2 linked regions of the Lepisosteus oculatus genome follow. The protein of the gene in region 2 interacts with the protein of the main gene of each other region in a biochemical or structural test. Links are inferred from orthologs where the notes say so. Each region holds a gene or a part of one and is shown on either strand. Other genes may lie near its edges.

What was found. The genes of interacting proteins can lie anywhere in the genome.
Region 1: the proteins of foxa2 (region 2) and hoxa5a form a complex in vitro, tested with the Homo sapiens proteins (2 studies listed by BioGRID). The link is inferred for Lepisosteus oculatus from reciprocal best matches to the Homo sapiens genes FOXA2 and HOXA5.

Annotation. Positions count from the first base shown.
Region 1 is NC_090705.1:562,674-570,140, forward strand, and holds hoxa5a (homeobox protein Hox-A5a), read left to right. Parts: upstream 1-4,642; 5' UTR 4,643-4,650; coding exon 4,651-5,215; intron 5,216-5,958; coding exon 5,959-6,209; 3' UTR 6,210-6,961; downstream 6,962-7,467. Other genes in the region: homeobox protein Hox-A6, read left to right, coding at 1,877-2,309, 2,720-2,988. UniProt on the Homo sapiens protein: Sequence-specific transcription factor which is part of a developmental regulatory system that provides cells with specific positional identities on the anterior-posterior axis. Also binds to its own promoter.
Region 2 is NC_090697.1:10,720,382-10,728,096, forward strand, and holds foxa2 (forkhead box protein A2), read right to left. Parts: upstream 3,016-7,715; 5' UTR 2,759-3,015; coding exon 2,690-2,758; intron 1,881-2,689; coding exon 708-1,880; 3' UTR 298-707; downstream 1-297. UniProt on the Homo sapiens protein: Transcription factor that is involved in embryonic development, establishment of tissue-specific gene expression and regulation of gene expression in differentiated tissues.

The DNA of each region.
Region 1 (7,467 bases), on a different chromosome or scaffold from region 2:
TGCAAAAATACATGTAGAAAAATAATTATACATATTAACACAGTTCGAAAAGCATATAAAATCTTGATTGCAGACCTAATCGAATTTTAACAAAACTACTGGTCAGATAAAAAAAGATTTTCCTCAATACGATACAAAAGTAGACAGCCATGTTGAGGATAAAAAGGTCTATCAAGTTTATTTGTTACTAAAAGCATAATACAAGTAATGCATACTCTCGTATTGCTGTTCTTCTTAAGATTTTCCTTATTTTGTATGACCTTATTGCTTTAATTAGTTTTTAATCTTTATTTAATTACCTTCGCACCCGTGGTGCACGGTTATAACATTCGTACTCACTGGTATCACTGTGTACGTGTTTTCACTTTGATCGAATGATATCTAATCAATTCTAAATCAATTCAAATCAAAGGCTTTCCGTAATTTTTGAATACAATAATTGTTAATAATTTGTGACCTAGACAAAAAATTATCATATTTAACTGTCAATAAACTCCAAAGAGCAGTCAAAATATACCGCTTCGAGACATGGCCTGCTTTTGCGTCTTGATCATCTGGAGTTTCGGCTTCGGGTTCCTTGGTGTTGATTATCTTCGGAGTTCGGTGAATAATTAAACAAATCTGTTGAAAAAAAATAATTCAAGTGATAAAGACGGCAGGTGGAGAAGAAACCGACACACTTGAATGTGATTATATTCAGTCAAAACACTGTATTTGTTTTGGAAACCGGACAGCACTTTGGTTTTGTTCAAATTAACAGATAATATAACGCCTCAGGTTAGAAAACGTTATTTTAGCACCGCTTGTCAATTCAGCACAAAATTGAGTATTTTTAGATATTTGCAGCGTATGTATACACGAGGTAATGATCGCTGTGGACACAATACGTAATGCAATTATGCAGTAAACCATCAACCGCCAAATATCACAAGATCCTGTGTTAGAGTTACAGCAATCCAGAGCGCTCCGAGCCTTCTAACAGTACGTGCTTATTTAAGCTTCTTTACGCCTGTGAGGAAATTAGAGGCCTGCGACTTTCCAGCTGTCACCCAGAGTCATCTCTTAAATACATAACACAGGGTACATTAAGCATTTTCAATGATGACTAGCAAGCAATGTATTTACGTGTATAACGGCAACAATAATCATTATCTACATAATTATTATAGTCCGTCAATGATGCTAATACCAATAACATGCTCAAGCCTTACAATCAGAGCTGACAAATGTTCTATGTAAGATTTAGAATTCTACTGCAAAAATAATTGGTAATTGTACAGAAAATTATTCTCATCTAAGCTTACTAACAGCAGATTTCACAATCGTTCGTGTATAAATTCGTATTTCATATATGAAAATACATACCTCTAAATTTCGCACATCTAAAATACTCCGATGTTTTTTTTTGGACACGTTCATTTAAACTTGTGTGCATCTTCCGAACAGTCACGTGTACATATGTGTCGTTTGGTTCAAAATACGAGCTTTGAAAAACAGTATTTTTATTTACAGAAGAAAGCAGTAAGTTACACACAAAGTGTAGGTGAGGCTGTTTTCGTTTTCGACATCATTGCACTCTGTTCTTTCTCGGTTACAAAAACAGTCCGGTGGAATGTCTTATTGAACTCTAATTGGCCGGCTCCCGGTTCTGGACTGATGAGGCTGTTTGTAAGTTTACTGGTTGTACGGCGAGTACCCTGGGGAGTGATGGCTCTGTGGAGCGGTTTCTATTGGCCAGCGGACAATCAGCTGGTTATATTCGCTGCTGTCGCTTTTGGCGCTTAGCCACCTAGAAACAAACCTTGGGCGACCACTAATAGTTATAGCCAGATGTACAAACACACAACAAATCACAATAGTTCGGTTTGTGGCGCAAATGAGTTCGTTTTTTGTGAACCCAGCTTTCCCTGCCTCCCTTCCCGCTGGGCAGGATTCTTTCCTCGGACAAATCCCGCTGTACACATCTGGCTATGATGCACTCAGGCACTTCCCAGCTCCTCATGGACCCTCTGCGATTCCAGACAAGACTTTTCCACCCCCTTGTTTCTATCAGCAACACAACACTGTGTTTAACACCAGAGCGCCTTATGAGTATGGGCCGTCCTGTTATCACTCAGACAAGGATCCAGTGAGCGTTTACCCCGCGGGCAGCGACAAGCAGGGGGCAGGCGACAGTTGCCTGCAGTTCTGTGGTGACCAGCACTGTAAACCGGACTGTACACAAAGCAAAATCTTCGGCAATGAGCCCCCCGACCGGAAGTACCCTGCATCGGCTCACCCGTGGATGCAAAGGATGAACTCTTGCAATGGTGAGTACAGAGCTCAACTCGCCATCATTCCTGCAACTTTGCAAAGTTATGCGAGAAGCTGAAATAATTTCTACTGTTGCACCTCTGAGTTTCTGTAGACGAAACGTGAAACTCTTTTGATAAAATTTTGCTCTGTCAACTTTGTAGCGTGAATCTCAGGGCTATGCTTCTTCACAAAACTTAAAAGAGTTTAGATTTCTAAAAATAGAAAGTGTTGTGTCCAAGATTAACTACACCGTTTGCAAACGTACAGCTGAATGTAGTTTGAGTGGCAGTTTCTGACATGCTCATGTACTACGGTGATAACTGTCCTTTCCAGGATTGCCACTAAATGTATATTTAATCTAAAATGAGGTGTGGACTGCATTGGATGTAAAAAATAGTCTGGTCAATTCTTTCCTTCTCTCCAGCTTCAATATATGGATCGCACGGGAGACGTGGGCGCCAGACCTACTCCAGATACCAAACTCTAGAGCTGGAAAAGGAATTTCATTTTAACAGATATCTAACTAGACGCCGTCGTATTGAAATCGCTAACGCTCTCTGTCTAACAGAACGACAGATTAAAATATGGTTTCAAAATCGACGCATGAAGTGGAAAAAAGAGAACAAAATTCTGAGCTCAGCAGAGGAGAACAGCGAGGAAGTCAAAGAGAAAACAGGGGAGTGCTCTGTGTAGCCCGCTTGTGCTTGTAGGCCTTTCCTGCGATGTGGAAATTCAGAACAATATTCTACTAGTTAATTTGCGTATATATTTATTTATTGCTGTGATACAAAAAATGAAAAATATTTTATGTAATCCAATTAGAGCGTCACATATCTTAATTTAAAAGTAACCGTAAGCAATATTTAAATGTTACTGAAATAAGAAATTCAGATCTATAGATTAGGAACATGTCCAATAATTGTTGTTAGATTCATTTTTTTATTTGATGTAGTTTTAGAAAAATAATAATTCCGATACTTTTCCGTTAAGAATACGGACGTTGTTCCGAAAATGTCTTCTTTATTGCTCTAGTGATTTATTTAAAAAAATAGCTATGAAATTTGTTTTTCCAGAAACCAAGTGTGAAGGTGTTTCGCCGTCTGAAGGCAAGGAATGTGGCGAATTTACATAACCGCAGATACAACGCGTACACTGTGCGAAATGTTATTATTATGAACGGATTCGAGTGTCGGTACTGTGATTTAATATAAATCATATATTTTAAAAATACACCGTAATTATGTTTCAGCATGAATGGGCGCAAAATTATAACTGTTCCCGTTTTTGACCAAATTAAATATACCGGACCCTACACTATTCAATGATTTCAAATCCAACCAGGGGACGTTTTAATAAAAAAATATACTTAACATTATTTTTTCTTCATCTTAATGCATTATAAAGAATATACGTAATGTTTATCACATAGCACTTAGCTTATATTCCGGAATATTCCTCGCCTTCAGATAGCGATTTAGCTTTAGGCAAAACACTGCCTACATTCACCCAGCGAGTATAACATTCATTCCTGTTATAACCCTAAACGCGGTAAGAAAGGAACTATGAGATAAAACAAAAGCGCGCACAAGGAATATCCGTGTTGTGGGTTAAAAAAATCGCAGGCTTTATGTTGTTACGCATTTACAGTAATTAAAGAAAGATATGATATCCTCAAAAGGAACAGAACAAAATAACCGAAGCCTTAAGGATCAAATAACTCTCCAGCGGAATTACATTGCTTACTACAGTTAATTTAATTACAATTCCATCCGCGGCTGCGGTTCAATCCAAACAGTGTGAAGAAGTAATCGCCGGGAAATATCAAATTGTCAAAGGAGCGAATATTATATTTGTTTTTGCGGCGAAAAGGCGCAATAAAAAGTCATAGCGTTCAGGCTGCATTAATCATATCATGAATAAAACGCGAGTAATACTGCAGCAATGCCTGTTAACCTTTATTCGACCCCTGCCCGCACTCCCCTGATCGAAACGGGCAGTTCGGCCGAGTCTCCAGAGGGTGGCGCAAGACGACAACTGAAGCAGCCGCCGGAGCGCGGCGCCCTTCCCCGTGCGCGCTCCCAGGCGCCGGCATCCACCCAGCTCTCCTGTTTGTGCACGAGTTTACCTCTGGAGGTCATCAGGCAGGATTTACGACTGGACAACAAAAGCACGTGACTCAAAGTCGTACCCCATATTTGGGTGCCTACGTAGGAGGGAATCAAGTACATGTCCCAGTCATTTCCATAATTCATCATAAATTGTGCAGGGGTGCTATAGACGCACAAAACGACCAAGACCACAAATCAAGCACACACATATCTTTTTTTTTCTAAAAAAATAGAACAATATCAACAAATGAGCTCTTATTTTGTAAACTCATTCTGCGGTCGCTATCCTAATAGCCCGGACTACCAGTTACATAATTATGGAGATCATAGCTCTGTGAACGAGCAATACAGAGATTCTGCGACCATGCATTCCAGCAGGTACGGCTACGGTTACAATGGGATGGATCTTAGTGTCGGGCGCTCGACCTCCGGTCACTTTGGTTCTAGTGAAAGGGCTCCCAGCTACACATCTAGTGCAACAGCCGCATCCGCAGAGCCCAGGTACAATCAGCCTGCCTCCGCGACTCACTCGCCACCTCCTGACCCTCTACCCTGCTCCTCCGTTGCCAGCTCGCCTCTCGGCGAAACTCACCGCGCTGTTAAAAACTCCATAGCCAGCCCTAATACCTCCTCCTCTAGTTCGAGCAGCAGCAGCGCTCTCTTAACCAGGGACGGTGCAGGCAAGCCGCCTGCTCCCCAGGATGACAACTCGGCGGGCAGCGTCCAGACAAATTCACAGAACGGCCAAAACGCGAGCGAAACATCACAGCCCCAGATATATCCCTGGATGAGAAAGCTGCACATAAGCCACGGTAAAACTGCTTCTCTTTTCTTTTATTCATTTCAGTGTGTTGTTACTGTTATTCCGACTTGTTTTTCCTTGGACACTGAAATGCAGCATGGTGGGATTAAATGATACCGCATGTTTTAACCGAGTGTGCGTGGTTGCCCGAGACGGACCACAGCATGAAGTTGAGGATGGTGTGGTGTTTCATGCACATTCTGTGTCCATTCAGGAAAATGCAAACAAAATGTTTGCAGAATGCTGACTATCGGGGCGGATTCACAACGGCATCCCCCAAAGCACGGCTCACAATCTGCTCGAATTTTAACCTTGAAGAGAGGTCTTCGTGCGTTTGTTCTTGCAAATGACGGTTGGGATTCAGAAGTTTTAATATATTTGACAGACGCCTCTCTGTCGCATATTGGCAATGAACGTTCATTTCAAAAATAGAAAATTCAGATGCTGGCTAAAATAATATACATCAGTGATTTTTCTTCACTACTTTTCTGACCAATGATGACCAGTGGAGCCTAGGTAGTACCAGGCAACCAGTGACTATATTCTTATTGTAATTGAACGCCATTGTTGTTGTGCTTAGTGAATTCGAGGGATTTAGGATATGTCTGATTAAGAGTAAACAGTGTAAGTGATTTTTCCCACTTCCAATTATTATTATTATTATTATTATTATTATTATTATTATTATTATTATTGTTCTTGTTGTTATTATTATTATTCTAGTGATGTAAGTGATGTGGTTCTGTGTCACAGACAACCTCGCAGGACCCGAAGGGAAGAGAGCTCGAACAGCCTACACACGCTACCAGACGCTGGAGCTAGAGAAAGAATTCCACTTCAATAGGTATCTGACCCGGAGGAGGAGGATTGAGATAGCTCATGCTCTGTGCCTCTCGGAGAGACAGATTAAGATCTGGTTCCAGAACAGGAGAATGAAATGGAAAAAAGATAATAAACTGAAAAGCATGAGCATGGCAGCAGCCGGAGCCGCGTACCGTCCTTAATTTCTAAGCACTTGAAGAAGTACTGGCAATAAACCGACGGACTGTTCCAGTCAGAGCGACAGACTTTCCAGAACTCCTGAGCGCTGGGTCAAACACATCCTTCAGCTCCAGCCTTTTAATCCTTAATCCGTTCAACTGGTCTTGCTTGTATGATTACAGCTGCTTTCTGTAAAACTTTGTCTTTTATCGGCTTAGTGTTGACAAAAAAATGGGGTAAACGTTTTAACTTATTTACTGTACTAAGGAGCAAAATAAGCTTGTGTTACTTAAAGTAACAGTAAAATCCGTTTAGTACAATTGTTATGTGTTGCACTCTAATTAAAAAAAATAACGAAAATAATAATATGTGTTGCTAATATGTGTTATGTATTTGTATGCTGAATGTCTAAATAGCTCCAAGCTGTCAAGGAAATACTGGTTTCTTAAAATCGACGTTTTCTTTGTAACCAATGCTATCGTTAATTTAAAATACTGAAATACTACCTACCTTGTATATCTGTAACTGTAGTGCGTTGTGAACACGTGAGGGAACAATGATTCCACAACTTTATGTCCTTGCTGTGCCTTTGTATGACTCTTTGCACGAACTTCAGTAAGTTGCTCTTGAAAGCGCAGCGACAGTGATGTGTGTTTTTGTGAAAAGGTATTCAGCATAGTCATGGCTTGGCTGTCTGAACAGATCGTGATCGCTTTTGTATTTGTTTTTAAGAATGACTGGAAGTAACAATAAAAATAATAAACTTTCTACAGTTTTTCATGTATTGTGTGTTGCATTTCGGCACTTTGTGCTCAAAACAAATTTGGGAAAATGCGGCCTTCACGAGTGTACTAGACTGCCCTACTTGATGCAGCTACTTGCGCGGAAACGTTTAAAATTAATCCAGCTTTAGTTTTATCATACAGCCGTTATCCTTGACGCAGTGAAAACGAAACCAAACGAATAGCGTGAACCCATTTAGCAAAATGAAAGATAAAACATAAAAATTGATTCATTGCCGCAGATTTGTTCTAGATTTATGTTTAAAATTGTTGACTTATCAGACTCTAACGCGACTTTTCTGTTTGTCGTCTCTAACGTACTTAAGTTTCTTCTCACTAGAAATTCAACAGGTCGAAAAACAGATTTAACTGTACTCACCCATAATTACGCGCCTGAGACTAAATGCTCCTTACCACTACACAGAAGGATGGTCTGTGCTTCTCTATCCTAAATGGCAACATTCTGAATCCTTCTTTAAGTTTAAAGCCGTAAACTTTA
Region 2 (7,715 bases):
ACATTTTACAGTGATTTAGGGTGTTTTCGTAAAGGTAAAATACTTGGTTTTAATTAATAAATGTCCTAACTCTTAAATGAAGCGAACCACAACGTAACACCGTTTGGTATTGAAATAGCGAAAACTATACTGTTTTAAACCATGAAATGATTTTTACCATCGTAGATAAAAATACCTTGTGTTGTTTCATGTTGACTTTATCAAGCCATACTGATGCGTTTCAATGCTGAAATATTTTCTATATAATATGTTCGTAATTACATGAAACATAATTTTACAGAAAATAAGACCAGACGATCATGTTCCCAAAACGTCCAAGTAACACTTTAATATATTCTGCCCTTGTTGTCAACTACAAGAATACACATTTACAAGCCATAAATAAGAAATACACAAACGATAAATTATTCGTCTGAAGCACTTCACTCTCCCAAATTGCATTTTAAATTCAGTATTTACCGTGCCATAATTTGTAACATTGTTGTTTTGTTTTTTGTTCCGTTTCAAAAGCTGCGGTGGGAGTTTGAAAACAAACAAACAAATCTTGTCATATATTAACACCCCTTTTACAAAAAAAATACTAAACAAACTTGACATCTAGTAATCATTGGGAAACATCAAAAAAATATTTTGGAATGCGTGTGCACAAACTATTATTTTACAAAATGTACAAATTGCTGGAAAAGGTCCATTGTGTTGCAGAAAACTTAGGAAGAGTTCATGATCGGTCTAGAATACACACCTTGATAGTAAGACGTGTCAGTGGATATTGGCGAGGTCTCCAAGCCCCCCTTGCTGGTCATCGAGCCCATGGATAAGGCTCCTGTCATGGGAGACCCATACCCAGAGTAATGCATTACCTGCTCATAAGTCTTTAGGTCCATTTTGTGATGCTGCTGCTCCGACGACATTAAATTGTTAATGGAGAAAGGGTGGTTGAAGGAATAGTGATGCTCCGGCTTCAGGTGCGCTTCATGCGCTAGGACGGAGTGGTGTTGCGACAGCAGATGCTGCGCCTGAGATGTCGGGGACGCAGCGTGTTCGGGGCTCAGAGCCTGGCTGGACTTCATGTCCGACAGCGACCTTTTGGGCTCGGTGGAGGAGGACGCGTTGGAATTGGGAGACTCGTTGCCGTTGCAGCTTTCCGAGCTGCTGTTAGATCCGCCTTCGGAGGTCTTCCTGCCGGACTCCTTGGAGAGTTTTTTATCGCACTTGAAGCGCTTCTGTCTCCTCAGGTAGCAGCCGTTCTCGAACATGTTCCCGGAGTCCGGGTGCAGGGTCCAGAAGGAGCCCTTTCCCGGTTTGTCGGGCGACCGAGGCACTTTCAGGAAACAGTCGTTGAAGGACAAGGAGTGGCGGATTGAGTTCTGCCAGCGCTGCTGGTTTTGACGGTAAAAGGGGAAGAGGTCCATGATCCACTGGTAGATCTCGCTAAGCGTGAGCATCTTGTTAGGCGACTGCTGGATGGCCATGGTAATGAGGGAGATGTACGAATAGGGCGGTTTGGCGTGCGTGTAGCTCCTCCGGTACGTTTTCGGGTCCCTCGATCTGTTGATGTTGGACTGTCCGTACATGGGGCTCATTGCGTTCATGTTGGGGTAGGACGTCAAGGCGTTCATGGACGGCGGCTGCGCGGTCATCGGGCTCATGCTGGGGCTGAGAGCCGCGCTCATGCCCGCCATCCCGGGGCCCATGCCGTTCATGGAGCCGGCCCCGGCTGGCATGCCCGTCATAGAGGGGCTCATGCCCGTGTTCACGTACGACATGTTCATGGAGCTCGGTGTCATGGTGGCCGCCGTGCTCATGCCCGACATGCTCATGTACGTGTTCATGGTGTTCATCCCCAGTCCGGTGTTCATGTTGCCAACGGATGTGTAACACTGTGGGAGCAGGAAAAAAAAAAGACACACAAAAGTTAAGTTTTCGAATCACTGGCGGTTGTGTCAAAGGCGCTTAAAACAAACTTGGCACCACAGTTAAGTTTTTGTTTGTTAATGAAAACAAAACTTTAAAAAAAACAAAACAAAAAAAAATGGTGACCCGCGACCTATCATTGATTCGACAAAACGACTTCTATAAATGTTGTTCCTCATCCAAGCGTTGTCTTCGTTCGAGCAGAAAAAAAAACCCAACTCGAATCTTACATGAAACGTATTTAATATTTTCAGGATAATCAAACAAATGTGCTTTCAGCGGCTAATCTAAAATGTATAAAGAAGTCCCATGAGCGAAACTGATTTCCTCAAAGATTCTTTTCACGAGTTCTCCTTAGAACGATCACAGGACGTGAAAATATCAAATTGTACAGAAAACAATACAGAAAGTGTAACAGAAACCGAAAAAGAAACATTGAATGCATATTCATTAAGTAGTGAATGCAACTCGACAGCACTATATAGCAATTACATGTGTATTTTCCACTACAGAATGAAAGAAAGCAATCCTTAAAAAACAAATTATCCATGACTTGTATGTAAGCAGATGAAGTCAGAATTCCAGAAAAAAAGTTTCTTCTTGCATGCCAAGCCCAACTTTGTTAGGATAGCGCAGCTCGGAGATCGGGGAGGATTTGGAGACGCCTCAAGTCAATATTTGATCACAAAGTTAATATTATCTCAGGGCTAATATTGAGTTGTATAAAATGGGATCGGCTTTAGGAGGAAAAAAAAAATATATATAAGCTACCAACCTCGGGCTCGCCGTAATAGGTGCTCCAGTCTGAATGCTCGTGTCCTTCCATTTTAACTGCACCCAGCATTGTGGAAGCAGCGAATCCACCCGGTCAACAGCTTCTCTGGAGAAGGTTTTTTTTTTTAAAAAAAGTTCTCTAGAACAAGACTTCGGACCAACGGTAACCCAGATCGCTGGTCTGCTTTCTACTCGGGGACTCGAGCATGTGTAGATTTCAGACAGTGGTGCCCAGAGGCGCTGAATAGCGTCTGATGATGACAGGAGCTGAAATGACGTTGGTGTCTGGCTGTAAACGCTGTGATATAGCTCTGTGCGCCAGGCGAAATCTCCAATCCCTACTTCTGCGTTGCCCTATTTGAATAATCAGCTCACACCTAGGCGTGAGACTCCCCGGCTTGGCCGCCTATTGTACACCTGCGCTAACTAAAAAGAACAAACCCCATTTGAAAAGATTCATTATAACCTAATCTGATTGTTTTCCAGGAGAAAAGAGTTGAGTTTAAACTGTTGTTGTAAGAAGGCTTTTTATCATGCACTTTTTTTCAGCAGACGGAATTAGGAATGCAGAGAATTGCCTTCTTTTTGACCTTTTTTTGTTTATTGCCAGGAGTGTGGTCTATATTCCCTGTTAGAATCGTCAGAAACAAGACTAGATGTTCACTTCTGCTGTAAAGAATCGAATTGTATTCCATAACATGAGGTCAAACACGAGTAACTTTTCCTTTTTTTTTGTTTTATTTGACTTGAATTTGTTACCGCTTACAATACTGGCTAATAAAACATTTTTAAACAATGCTTTTTATCAAACGCATTGTAATCTCAATAAAACGTGTACGGATATCTCATTTCTTCCAGTTTCAGCTTTCCCAATAGACGATTTACAAGTGATTTTATAAGTATTAAACTACAGTTAATAAATCCTAATATTAGTCGTAGAAGTGTGTTAACATTCATCTACTCATTTCAGCCCTTTTGTCCTTCTAAGGTCATCGTCATCGGATAATATTTTTTGCTCTAATTCGTTTAATCACTATTTTAGACCGAATTCAGACCTTTAACTGTACAACCAATTCATCATTTGCCTGTTCGGTATCATTTTTTTAGCTTGGCTAGTTTTGGCCTAGAGAAAACCGAAAATCTGTTTTTGAAAAACACTATTTCCAAGGTTTGTATGCCCATGACATTTCGCAACTAAGTAAACTAAAAACGCAAAACGAATTACACAAAGCACAACGTGGACCTTGTTTTATTTTCTCTGAAGAAAACAAAAGGAAACATGAAATAGGATTTATGAGTGACCTGTCACCAAAAACAAGCGGAGACAATTCCCCGGTGGACCAATTTTAAATTTGAGCAATATTGGAAGTTATTTATATCAAAATTATATTTCAGCTACATTTTCACAGAGAAATCCAGTTTTATTTTCTCAGTTACAGGAGCAGCATTTGAATTTAGACTCATCTCGCACGCAGCCGCGTCGCAGATCACGAGTCATCATTTTATTGATTCTGGAGAACCCGCAGGCTGTTTGATATATTAAACAAAGTAAAGTTTATTTAATGTGTTTGACCATCAGAGATTTAACAGATCTCTTCAGCGATGGCTGATAAAGCAGGCTTCAGAAAACACTAACATTCTTTCAAGTGAAATTAATCGTGCTATTTCATTGCTAATATATTTACTTATTACACACACCAAACGGGAGAATTCTGCATGGACGCAGTTCTTGGAGTGCCGTAGAAAATCGCTGAGCGTGGATATTACTATACTGATGGTCTTTGAATGTATTTGTAATTTCATATAGAATCAACACGATATCTAGCAGCATTTCACTATGTTTATTGATAATAAACGAGTTCTTTGAGTTCTTTGATAATGATTATGCATGTAAAGATTCGAAGAATTCAGGATTTGAGATTCGTCAACAAAAATAATTTCTATAGTAAACTATACAATTCCTTTTAAATCAAGAATAGAGATATTTTTTTAATTTCGATGGAACCGTATTGAGCCTTGAACCCCAGTACACATATCTTCATACATATTCCATAAGCTTCTCGTTCTAATTTGTCGTTAGAAAACACCGACCGTTCTAAGTAAAAAGAGGTTTTCAAATATTATTTATTAATGATACTCTTGATAATTTGAAGAAAACCAATCTGGGATTAATTCATTTGAGAGCGCCCTCTTTTGGAAATAATACAGAACACAAATGCCTTTATGCACAGGTGGAAACACTGTATTTGTGAACTCGCTGCCCCAGACATCAACGCGGAAATAACGAAACAAATCCGTATTTTCAAATGATTCATTACCGTTTTAAGTACTGCAGTCCTGGAGTCCCGTGATCTATTTCTTCTCTACCTCTTGCGTGATTTTCAGCCTTTTCAAGGTAAGCATGCAATTGTACTGTAGGTATTTGTTTCAGAAATACTCTTATTTCACGACAGCGGCTTGTGTAAAAACAACAACAACTTGCTCTCTTCGCTCAGAGTTCGCCTAGAGCGCCAGCCTGTTTTTACAGGACTCTTTTTGAGGGTCTCCCCAACAATGTCTACCATGGGAATCTAAGACCACCACCCCTCACCCCTGCTCTGAACTGCTCCTCAATTCACTGTATAGATTCTGGGGATTAAGATGCAGGTAACAGTAGTGAGAAAGGGCTGTGCGATTAAGGAGTCTGGTAAAGTGGCAACAATCCCTGCTGTAGATTTCTTCTGTCACACAGATGGCACAGTGTTGTGACCTTTAGCACGTCTGCCTCACAGTTCCTGGGTCCCAGGTGGGACTTTGCGTGTGGAATCTGCATGTTCTCTTCCTGTTCAGGTGGATTTATTTGGGAGTTCTCTGGTTTCCTCCGCCTGTCCAAAGCCGTATTTTTCTGCCATCTCTTAATTGGCTCCTGTATCAAACTGTGTGCCCACTGCCTGCCAAGTTAGGTTCTCACTTGTCATGACCCTGTGTGGGACTAAGTTGTTACCGAAATGGATGGATTATTATTACATATCACATTGGCCAGCCCTTTGTCCCATCTGTCCCACTTGTATTGAATTCTGCGGCAAATAACTTTTATTCTACCAAGTCTTCCGTATCCTCCACGTCTTCCATAATACCGCTGTGTGAGCTAGTGAGAGGTGGCTTTGTGCGAGAGCCACATGTTAATTGGAAAAACCTGGAGAACGAGGCACAGCTATTCTGCCTGAGTAATTGGAACTCAGTGGGAGTGAAATTCCACGTGAGGGAAAGGAGCTGCCAGTATAGGCTCTGTTTGGGATTAACCACACCTCTCGGCTAATTAAAAGGTCACTTAAACCAGCTAGGAGATAAAGGGCTTTAAGACGTTGTCTGCTCTGCGGTCTGGAAGAAGTGAGACTCAGAGCTCTGGAGGCAAATAACAAAGTTGTATATACTTGACATGTAAAGTATAAAACAAAATGCCTTAATGTATAGGGAGTAAAGCATTCCTAAAACAGTATGGAAGACAGTCTCCCAGGTCTTCAGTTCTGTACTTTGGTCCCGTTGCAAACACATGCAATCATCACTTGCAGGTGTAGATGCAAGTCACAGAACTGTTCAGTGTGCAGGTGTCACGCTCGCCTAACGACTGTTGGAGGACTGGATGCCTTATTTACTAGGCAGTGTTCCGGTTCGGGCTTTTGTCAGAAGGGGATAATAGAGATGTGTGACACTGACCCACCTGTCTAGTGCCTTCGTAGTTATATGTAGATGTCCCAAACATGTCCCATCACTGATGTTACAATCAGTAGTGTAGTGTTTCAGAGGTGGCCTGATGGTTTTTCTGTAATATCAGAAGCAGTTAGCAACAGTTCTTGGAATAGTCCATCTTGAAGTACACCTGGTATTTTATACCACTCATAACTGGGTTATCATGGTATCCCCCTGTGTGGGATAGAGTCTTTCCATTTTTGAAATTGTGAATGCTGAATGTGTTTTCTTTAATACTTCAGTTCTCTGGGAAAGAACATACAGGAGGGATTAGACAGCATTTAGGGCTGGGCAGATCTAGATAGAATACATGCGATTCTAGTTATTATTAGTACTACTAGTGGCCCAAACAGTTTAATAAATTCAGACACATATACAGATGAAAAATAATTGATAAAATCATAGATATAACCAGATCCCTCTGAAAAAAATGACTATAATGAACTACAAGCACAGGTTATGCAATGGATGGTAAATCAATAATAAAGGTTTATTCTGTGTTACAGTAGTAAAAGAAGGGTGAGGTAAAGTGTTTCAGGAACAATGATGAAAGTATAGATTGTAGAGAAAGGCTGAAAGAACTAAACCTTTTTAGTCCCGGTCAGAGAACTTCAAAGGCTCTGATGAAATCAACCCACTAGACTTCTGCAGAATCAAAAGTGAAACATGAATCAAAGGATAGAAGTGGAAACTACAAAAATAATACAGTGATATGCATTTACTGTAACCCCAAGAAGGGTGTCACTTTTTACATACAGCATTATGGGAGTCTTAAAAAAGCTAACCAACAATGCCACTGAAGATGATAACCCGGCTTTTTCAAGAAACGACTGAACAATATGATCAAATAGCTACTGGCAGCCAAATGAGTTAGACTGGTCAAACGGACTCCCGTTTTCAATATATCTAGCGTAGTATATATTGCATTCTGAGTTGTGGACCACACAACAAAAAGGTTTTGTTGCCTTTGAAAGTGATTAAATTAAAGTGACCAGAATATTTTTGGATTGTAGAGGAACATCACGTACAAATAGGAAAAAGGAACTGAAACTCTCCAGTCTGAAGCAAAACTGATAAAAAGTCAGGAATGGAAATGATAAGAACAGCCCAAAGATAAAAAAACATATAGAGTAACAAGTGGAAATTAAGGGGAGAAATGGGGAGGATTTAATATGGGAGACACTGATTGGTCAGTCAGTTTGTTAAAGTGAATATTTTGAAATCCTGCAAGCAGGAGTTTATACTGGGTGAAATTTTGTGATTAATTATCTACTAGAAATCATAAAGTCATAAAGTCT